2 linked regions of the Coturnix japonica genome follow. The protein of the gene in region 1 purifies or fractionates together with the protein of each later gene. This does not show direct contact. Links are inferred from orthologs where the notes say so. Each region holds a gene or a part of one and is shown on either strand. Other genes may lie near its edges.

Evidence for each region.
Region 2: the proteins of AICDA (region 1) and CTNNBL1 purify together in Homo sapiens (affinity purification with western blotting; 3 studies listed by BioGRID, with this or other methods). This does not show direct contact. The link is inferred for Coturnix japonica from reciprocal best matches to the Homo sapiens genes AICDA and CTNNBL1.

Annotation. Positions count from the first base shown.
Region 1 is NC_029516.1:68,572,401-68,576,663, reverse strand, and holds the start of AICDA (single-stranded DNA cytosine deaminase), read left to right. Parts: upstream 1-1,427; 5' UTR 1,428-1,641; coding exon 1,642-1,649; intron 1,650-4,263. UniProt on the Homo sapiens protein: Single-stranded DNA-specific cytidine deaminase. Involved in somatic hypermutation (SHM), gene conversion, and class-switch recombination (CSR) in B-lymphocytes by deaminating C to U during transcription of Ig-variable (V) and Ig-switch (S) region DNA.
Region 2 is NC_029535.1:8,600,523-8,604,964, forward strand, and holds the start of CTNNBL1 (beta-catenin-like protein 1), read left to right. Parts: upstream 1-1,423; 5' UTR 1,424-1,524; coding exon 1,525-1,554; intron 1,555-4,442. UniProt on the Homo sapiens protein: Component of the PRP19-CDC5L complex that forms an integral part of the spliceosome and is required for activating pre-mRNA splicing.

The sequences.
Region 1 (4,263 bases):
GGGGTTAACCTGGGATATTTGTCATAAGGTTCTGCTTAAAGTAAAGGCTGAAAGGCAGCAGCTGTTTTATTAGCAGAAATGTCCTCTATTAGTCTGTTATGCAGAACAGGGATTAATAAGGAATGCAGACTGTTCTGTCTTTGGTCAAACACTAAAAGCCATATCTCCAAAGAGCACAATTGCCACAATCCTTGGCAATGAAGTTGCTAAACTGTGTGTCTGTTGAGTATGACTGCTACTTCTGTGGAGCTGGGAATACATTTACACAAGGAGTAGGACAGTCCAGTCCTGGATCATCCAGGAGTTCTCCTTTTCTTGATGTGTACATCACTGATGTACATTACTGATGTGGCCACTCTTAAAGTACTGGGCTAGAGTAGTCTGTTCTGGTTTGTCAACTCATGTTTTTGCATATACTGGCTTCACGCAGTTCTAGCAGCAAGCCGAAAGCCGGTAAAATTAATAAAGAAAGTAAATCAAGCAGAGAAAAAATGAAGAACTACCCTAGCGTGAGGTAAACAAAAGGGCTGTAGTGCTCACAGTCATGCCCAGCTTGAGGAAGTAATGGAGGAGGATAGTTCCTACCTGCCTCCTCAGCACCCATGCCTGTCTGGAGGTTATCCTTGGCTGTCCCTCAGCCCTGCAGAGGAGATGGTCGCCTTGGAGGTACTACAGCGGAGCAGAGCCTGAGGAGGAGAAAACTGTTAGCAAAGCGAAAGTGCACGTGGTGAGAGCAAGCCTCAGCACACCTGCATGTAACCACAGGCCTGCTGTGTGAAGGCAATGCTGCCACGAGACACCCAGAAGAGAGATTCTGCACCCTGTCCCAAGCTTTCTGCTTCCAGTACTGTTTCCAGCTGTGTGTGCTCAGTAGGTTTGGGGCCTGAGTCACGCTCAGTGGGTTTTTTGCATAGTCTTGTTATTTGGGTTAGTGCCTGCTCTTTTCATGCTGACACAGCCCAGAATGCATGGCACTCAAGCGTCAAACAGGGGTGACATGCCCAATTTCTGCACACCACCCCCATGCATTTTTCAAGAGCTAGGTAGGTCTATTCTCACTCTTCTTTGGTTTTGGTGAAATGGAAGGGACAACAGTTTGGTGCTCCCTGAGCCTTTTTCACCTGGATTCACAGGGCACTGTCACACGCCACCCGTGCTGCTGCCTTGGTAGGGAAGGTCAGCATTACCATCATCACTGCACAGCTGTGTGAGCAGAGGCCCAGAGGGGTTGTGTGGTTTTGCCCACACTCATGTCAGTGGTACACAACTCCCAGGCTCCCCTCTAACCACTAGACAATGCTTCCTGCCTCGTCATGTTATTGATATCAATTCAGAATAATTTTGCAAACTGGGAGGTCCCAATGGCAAGTGCAATAAGGAGAGGCAGCCAATGAGTGCAGAGCATCTTTCAGAACTAGTATCTCTTCGCATTTTAACCCTTTGCTCTTTGGCTCATACAGCTCCAGGGCCTCTCCTAACTCCTCCCCAGACACAGTCTGAAACCCACCAAGAGTAGATAGGGGTGAATGGGGAAGGGAAGTACAGAGCATTCCACATTTCTGTGCACCAGAGGGCTGAACAGTCAGAGCCTGTGAAGCAACTTCTGCACAACCCAGTCATCTAAGAGAGAACCCAGCTGATATGGAAAGGTAAAATGAACACCTCCAATTTCTTGCTGATAGAATAAATTGCCTCTAATTAAATTGCTGTCCATTTGGTGTTTACTGTCCTTTTCCCTTTCTCCATATGACTCAGTTATCTAAATCCCCACCCTGTTCTACCTTTACACCTTGCAGCTCTCTGCGCCCACCACTGTTTCTCTCTTTGACTGTAAACTAGCCTGCATTCTTTTCCCCTCCTGTCATTTCTTCCTTGTGACTATTTTCTGTTCCCTTTCATTCTTTCTTTTCTAGAAAAAGAAAAGAAAATATAACAGAAAGATGAACATTTGGATGCTGCTTAAGCATTTTGATCTCTGCCCACTCTCCACCTATTCTCCCTCTTGCATCAGGTTTCGATCTTATTCTGTTTCTGCTGCTCTCACCTTGTGCTTTCAAGCACAGACTGTTCCAGCCCTGCATTCTTCTATTTGCTTTTAAATTACTCTGCATAATTGCACATCATTCACACACACTCAGGGGCTTTCGCTCTGATTTCAGGATTGCTTCATGAATCTTTATTTGAGGAGAAGATCCCTTCTTGTGTATAATCACAGCTTGTGTATAATCACAGCTCCTGTGTCTTTGCTGCTTTCTCTCAAACTATGTGATGTGCTCCTATGCTACAGGAGTTGCATATGTAACCATCACTTTGTACATAGCTGCAGATCTTCTCACTTGCCTCCCATAACACCTGTTCATTCATTTTTCTTCTCATACTGGTCGTGCATGGTCATTTATTAGGAATGCTTCCTAATAAAAATCCCCAGCAATGGCCAAGTCTGGAGAGCAGAGATAACAGGAATTGATATTAATGAATACTTCTATGTGTACAAATGGCTCATGACTCAAAATTGTCTTGTATAGTCTTCACTTTGTCCTGACACTGAAAGGACCCAAATGTCCTTTTCTTCTTCTTGTTATTTCTTATTCTTCACTTGTTTTTGCAACACCACACTGCTCTGCAGGAGTAAGACTTCTGAAAGGATTAAAAATGGGAATATGGAAGAAAAGGGACTACAGGAAGGAAATGAGATACATTCTTAAAGCAAATGTTTTTGTGAAAACTTTACTGTTTTATTGCTCTTGCTATATAGTCCAGGTAAGAGTTTTGCAATTTTCTCACTTATCATACCAACTTATTTACCATATGATTGTCTGGGTTGTCCTTCCTAAACCATCTGAGGATCTGCCATGCACAGAAGGGGTGTGGGAAATAGATAAAGAGTGTTTATATAAGAAATTTTCCTTGCTTAGACTCTCATATTCAAATCAGAACCGCAGAAAACTCAGCTCCACATCTCTTACACTGACTCCAGCTCCCTGCTGTGAGGGAGGTGAACAGCTTACCACAGTGAACACAGCAGTCTTCAGATGTACTTCCACATTACATTGAGGCTGTTGAATAAGGCTCATGGCTATCTTCTCATTCTCATTTTCCTGCTACCTCTCCCCAGCAGGACATCTGGCATGGGTTCAGGCCCATACCAATCTCTTTGCTTACCTAGTGTGGCAATGGAACTCACACATCAAATGTGTCACCATGCCTACCCTAGTACTTATTTCTGTCAGTTAACATATGGTACCCTACCCTATCTTCTAATCCTTAGTATGGAATGCCTCCAGCCACACTCTTCCTTTGGGAAAGGATAGAAAGAAACATCCAGTCTTCTCTAAAAAGTCTCTGATTTGATCCTTTCATTGCCCCAGTGGTTATTAGGGTTTCATATAGTAGAAAGAATACACCTTGATCCAATCCTTCTCATCTTCTCATATCTTTTTTTCCCAGATACCCTCATACTTCGCTCTCATTTGTGTCCATGTTTAGGATACTTCTGCACTCTGCTCAGGCATGGTTACTGTTTGGTTAATCACTACTAATTCACTTACTGTTTTGACTCACAAGGTCAGCTCCTCACATTGGCAAGCCTCCAGTCTTCTGGGACCTCACCAGTCAGCGCTCCTTGTTGACTGGTGAGGTCCCAGAAGACTGGAGGCTTGCCAGTGTGACTCCCATTTACAAGAAAGGTTGTAAGGAAGATCCAGGGAACTACAGGCCTATTAGCCTGACCTTGGTTCCAGGGAAGGTTATGGAGCAGATTGTCTTGAGGGTGATCACGTGTGCTGGGGCCTGTCCTCTTCAATATCTTTACTGATGATCTGGATGAGGGCATTGAGTGCACCCTCAATAAGTTTGCAGATGACACCAAGTTGGCTGGAAGTGTGGATCTGCCTGGGGGTAGCGAGGCCCTACAGAGGGATCTGGACAGGCTGGAGAGCTGGGCTGAAGCCAACGGGATGAGGTTCAACAAGACCAAATGCCACATCCTGCACTTTGGCCACAACAACCCCGGGCAGTGCTATGGGCTTGGGGTGGAGTGGCTGGAAGACTGTGTAGAGGAAATGGACCTGGGGGTATTGATTGATGCTTGGCTGAACATGAGCCAACAGTGTGCTCAGGTGGCCAAGAAGGCCAATGGCATCCTGGCTTGTATCAGAAATAGTGCTGCCAGCAGGAACAGGGCAGTGATTGTCCCCCTGTACTCAGCACTGGTGAGGCCACACCTCGAGTACTGTGTCCAGTTTTGGGCCTCCCTTGTAAGAA
Region 2 (4,442 bases), on another chromosome or scaffold:
TACGACTCGTTTTCTTTTTTTTTTTTCTCATTTTAATAAAAAAAAAAGGAAAACATCCGGAAACGTCGCAGCATCCAAGAAAGAGCAAGATCTGACATCATTAACAAAGTGCCTTCAATCAGGCTGTTTTCCTAATGGTTTGGCATATCAACCCACGCCTCCCCGACCCCCCCCTACCCCATCTTTGCACTCCCAACCCCCTGAGGCATCATTTACATTTCTTAATAACCCCTCATTAATATGCATGATGCGGGGAGGGCAATAACGGCTGAGCGCACACCACTAATTCAATTTCAGCAAGGCTCCGTGTGTTTAGTTAATCACCGGGGGACCCGGGTTACTCAGTACAATTATTTATAGGGAATTAGATCTGGAGGCATCTGGATTGAAAAGCAAAGCAGGGATCAAACCAAGGCAGAGATTCTCTCTGCAGTGCTATGGGGCCGTAGGGCCGTGATCTCCAGGTGAGGGGTGCAGCACAGCCCTCCTGCAGCTCTGGGTGCTGGACCTGCTTCATGTGCCAAGAGCTTCTGTTCACATCCATCCTTTCGATTATTGGAGTTGGCTGGGTGGGTGTTTTTTGATTGTTTTGTGTTTGTTTTTGCTTCTGGTTTTGCTTTTTAATTCAATATTTTGTCCCTGTGCTCGCACTGCCCTCACTGCATGAAAACACACCGTTATCCAATCCTGCCCTGCAGCAGCTCGCTGAGAATTGAGTTTCCTGGGCTGCAATAAGGCTGTGCTGGAAACACATCCAGGAGGAGCCGGCAGAAACCAAAGGCTGTTCCAATGGCAGCTGCATTGCACAGCCCTGTGCTGTGCTCACTGCCATCACATGGGGCCTCTATTGCTGCCCCTCAGAGCCCCCAAATACCCCTCAGAGCCCCCCAAATACCCCCAATACCCCTCAGAGCCCACCCAGTGCCCCCAAATACCCCTCAGTGCCCCCTAATACCCCCCAGAGCCCCCCAAATACCCCTCAGAGCCCCCCAGTGTCCTCCAGACCCCCCCAATGCCCCTTAGACCCCCTCATTGCCCCCCATTGCCCCAGCACTCGGTGAATGGAAGCCAATAGAGCCAATAATTCTCCTCTATGTATCTCAGCCCCGCAGCTCAGATTTGTGGCTTTCATTTTGCAGCTCCATCCCTTTCCCGGTCCCTGCGGGGCGCTGGGCCCCCTCTCACACGTTATGGATGTCTTTAATTCCTCTCAGCGCCCTCCTGCTGAGGTAACAACGCCGCTGGGCCGTGAACAACGATTCGGGCTCCGAGGCAATCAAGAAATACGCTCTATAAGGTTGGTGCCGAGCCGAGCTGCCCCCACCCCAATTACCACTCGCATCCCACACGTGTCATGGCGGCGCTTTACGACGGTGCGGCGTTTTGCGACAGCGCGTCTCAGCTCTCACTTTCCGGCAGAGTGGCTCCCTCGCAGTGCGCCTGCTCTCCCTCGCTTTACGGCACGGTGTCGTGCTATCCCGGTGCTTTACGACAGTTCGGCGGCGGTGGGGCCCGGTCGGTGCTATGGACGTCGGGGAGCTGCTGAGTTACCAGGTGGGATGGGGGGAACGGGATGGAAGCGGGGGGGCCCTGACCGTGCTGACACTGTGATACGGCTGCAGATCCGGCTGCCTCAGGGCTGGGATGGAGCTGTGTGTTGGTGCGGCCTGTCCGCATGTTCCCTGTGCTTTATATCCTTATTAAATGTCCAGTTATTCTTCTGTGCTTCTTAAATATCGGGTTATTATGGTTGTTTCTTGTGTTCCTTTGGCTGAGGTGAAGGAGAGTGAAGCATTATTTGTATCAGTGTTATTTATTTGTTGTGTGATGCAGTTTATACCTATGGAATGTAAAGGTAAACCTGTTAGTTACTAGTTGACTTCTGTTGGTTTTAAGCCTTTATTCAGATTTTAGTTTGGATTCTTTTTGCTTTTCTCATGCTCTGAAAATGTTGAGGCCTTCATAGCACCATCCTGCCCTGGAGCACAGTGTATGTTTGCTTTTGATCCCTTTGGTTTTCCCATTGCTCTGTGTTGGGCTCTTTGCCTGCCCTCGGTTTGCTGCCATGATGTGGAAGCAGCACATGGAGATGCACTTTGTGGCTGCCAGGTGTTGCAGCAGCTTCTCTCGCTGTTGAGTTTATCCATCAGATTCCAACTGAGATTCATTCTGCAGGTGTTCTGGTTTTGTGCTCTCCAGGTCTCAGGACACCAATGTTTCTGTGTCAGGAGGTGATGTATTGCATGAGAGCAAGAGCTGGACTTCACGTGTCCCCAGATTCAGAGCTCTGGAATTAGGTAGAAAGGTGAACAGAGGTGAGAGGGAGCAGGAGGCAGCACAGGAGCTCTGGTTCTGATAGACACAGTCCCTTCAGTGCGGTACCTGCATCTGTAACATTGGAATGAAGGCAGGGAGTGGTGGGCTTTGCCTGCAGCTGCTGTCCTACAGGCAGCACAGCAGGGCTGCCCTGTGTATGTTCTCATAACATTCAGAGCAGCCAGCCCTGTGTTGTGCCTGTGCGCATGCTGCCTCGTGTGTGGTGCGACAGAGCCAGGTCAGTGGTAGAGCTGCTGCTACCAAGGCAAGGCTGATGGGTAGCTCATAAAGCAGCTCCTGCCCTGCTCCGGTTCCACCTGCATGAAGGTTCATGCTCTCGTCTCATGGGATTCTGTATTGGGATAGCTTCATCCATCCTCACTGCAGAGCAGCAGTGGCTGTCAGGGAAGGGCTGGGTGTGATGGCTGCTGTCTGATTTTAACCTGCTGCAAATGAGTCAGTTTCTCAGCTTCCCTCAGCAAAGAAGCCCAGTTTTATATTGTTTCAAATTGTTTTCCTCTAAACACTTAATCCGTGCCTTTGCTTAATCAAGATGTTCTCCCTCAGTGCCAGGTTTGGTGTGGAAGATTTTGGGTTCTGTGCTGCCAGCTGGGCACTCGATGTCTGTCAGAATGGGAAAAGGAACCTCCTGCAGCAAAAAAAAAAGGCCAAATAAACAGACCCGGCACCTGGCAGCTTATACAAAGCTCAGTAATCCATAAACTTTATGTGTTGCTGCAAAACAGTTGCAGATGGTCTAAACTGATGATTAAATATTGCTGCTGTGCTGCCCAGAAACACTGTGCCCAGATCCTCCGTGTCTGCTTTCTGATTACAGCGGGTAATTATAGGGACAAAGCCAGCTCTGGTTATTTTCAGACATCTCTTTCAATTGGTGTGGGAGGGAATAAGGGAGATTATTTCCATTCTCGTTAAATGCAGATTTCAGCTCTGAGTGATGATTATGCATTGCTAATTTTTTAATGAAATATTTGTGAAATGGGATAACAAAAGGGGGAAGCTGTAATGGGGTGCAATTTGTGCAGCAGGTTTGTCCTGCTGTTGGAACTGGTGGAGCACTGCTTGTGATGGGATGGATCTCAGCATGTTGTTGGAGGGGCGCAGTAATTCCAGCTGCTGGCACAGGCTGTTTGCTGTGGATTGGTGACATAATGGATGTGTCTGATGGTGGAAGCAGCAGAGCTGGGCAGGCTGCTGGCTGCTCTCACTGTGTCTCCTGGTCAGAGCGTGATGGCCTCATGCTTGTGACCCCGTGCCTGGAGCTTCTTTGGTGTGGCTCCTGCAGCTGTGTGCAGACCTTGTGCTCTCTTTCTGCTTGTATCTTTGGCCATCAAAGTGGGAAGTGTGGAAGAGTCAGCCAAAGAAACCAGTGTGCTTCCCTGCCCTGCTGCTGGGGCTGTGGCACGTTGGGCTCTGTCCTTGCAGAGCATCCCAGGTCCAGGGATGGCGTAGTGTTTGTACAGTGTTTGTACCCTCCAGATAAACATGCAGCTTTTGGTCATTGTATATATTGTATGTATATTATTGTATATATTTTTGGTGGTTTGTTTCACATTTCCATATGGCAGCCATATAAAACAAGGAGGTGAAACTTCATCTGTGTGCCTCTCATAGTACAACGCTGCCTCAGGGCCTTGTGTGCCTTACTGTGGGGGAAGGTGAAAAGGGAAAGGATCTGTTCTATTAACTTAAACTGTCCATGCAGATGCAGCTCTGTTCTTCCTTCTTTCATTTGGAGCACTTGGGTTTCCTAAGGGTACCACATTGTCCTGGTACCAGTTCTCAGTCTGTAATGGGCTATAAAGAAGTGCCGTGCTTTGGTGCCAAGTGAGATTGGCAGCAGCCTGATTGGAAGCAAAATTCAAAGGCTGGAAGCAAATTTCAGAAGCCAAAGATACAGACAGAAAGAAGGTGGCTGTGGAGGTGTGAGGTTTGCTTTCGGAGCCCTGACCCAACAGCTGCATTCTGCAGTGCTGCTCTGCGTGTGTTGCAGTTGGCTGACGTGGCCACACAGCAGCAGTGTCACTTATGAAGATTTATTTCCGATTTCATGAACTAATACTTTCAGAGCTTCACAATAACAAGGTTACTTACGAGGTAGACGC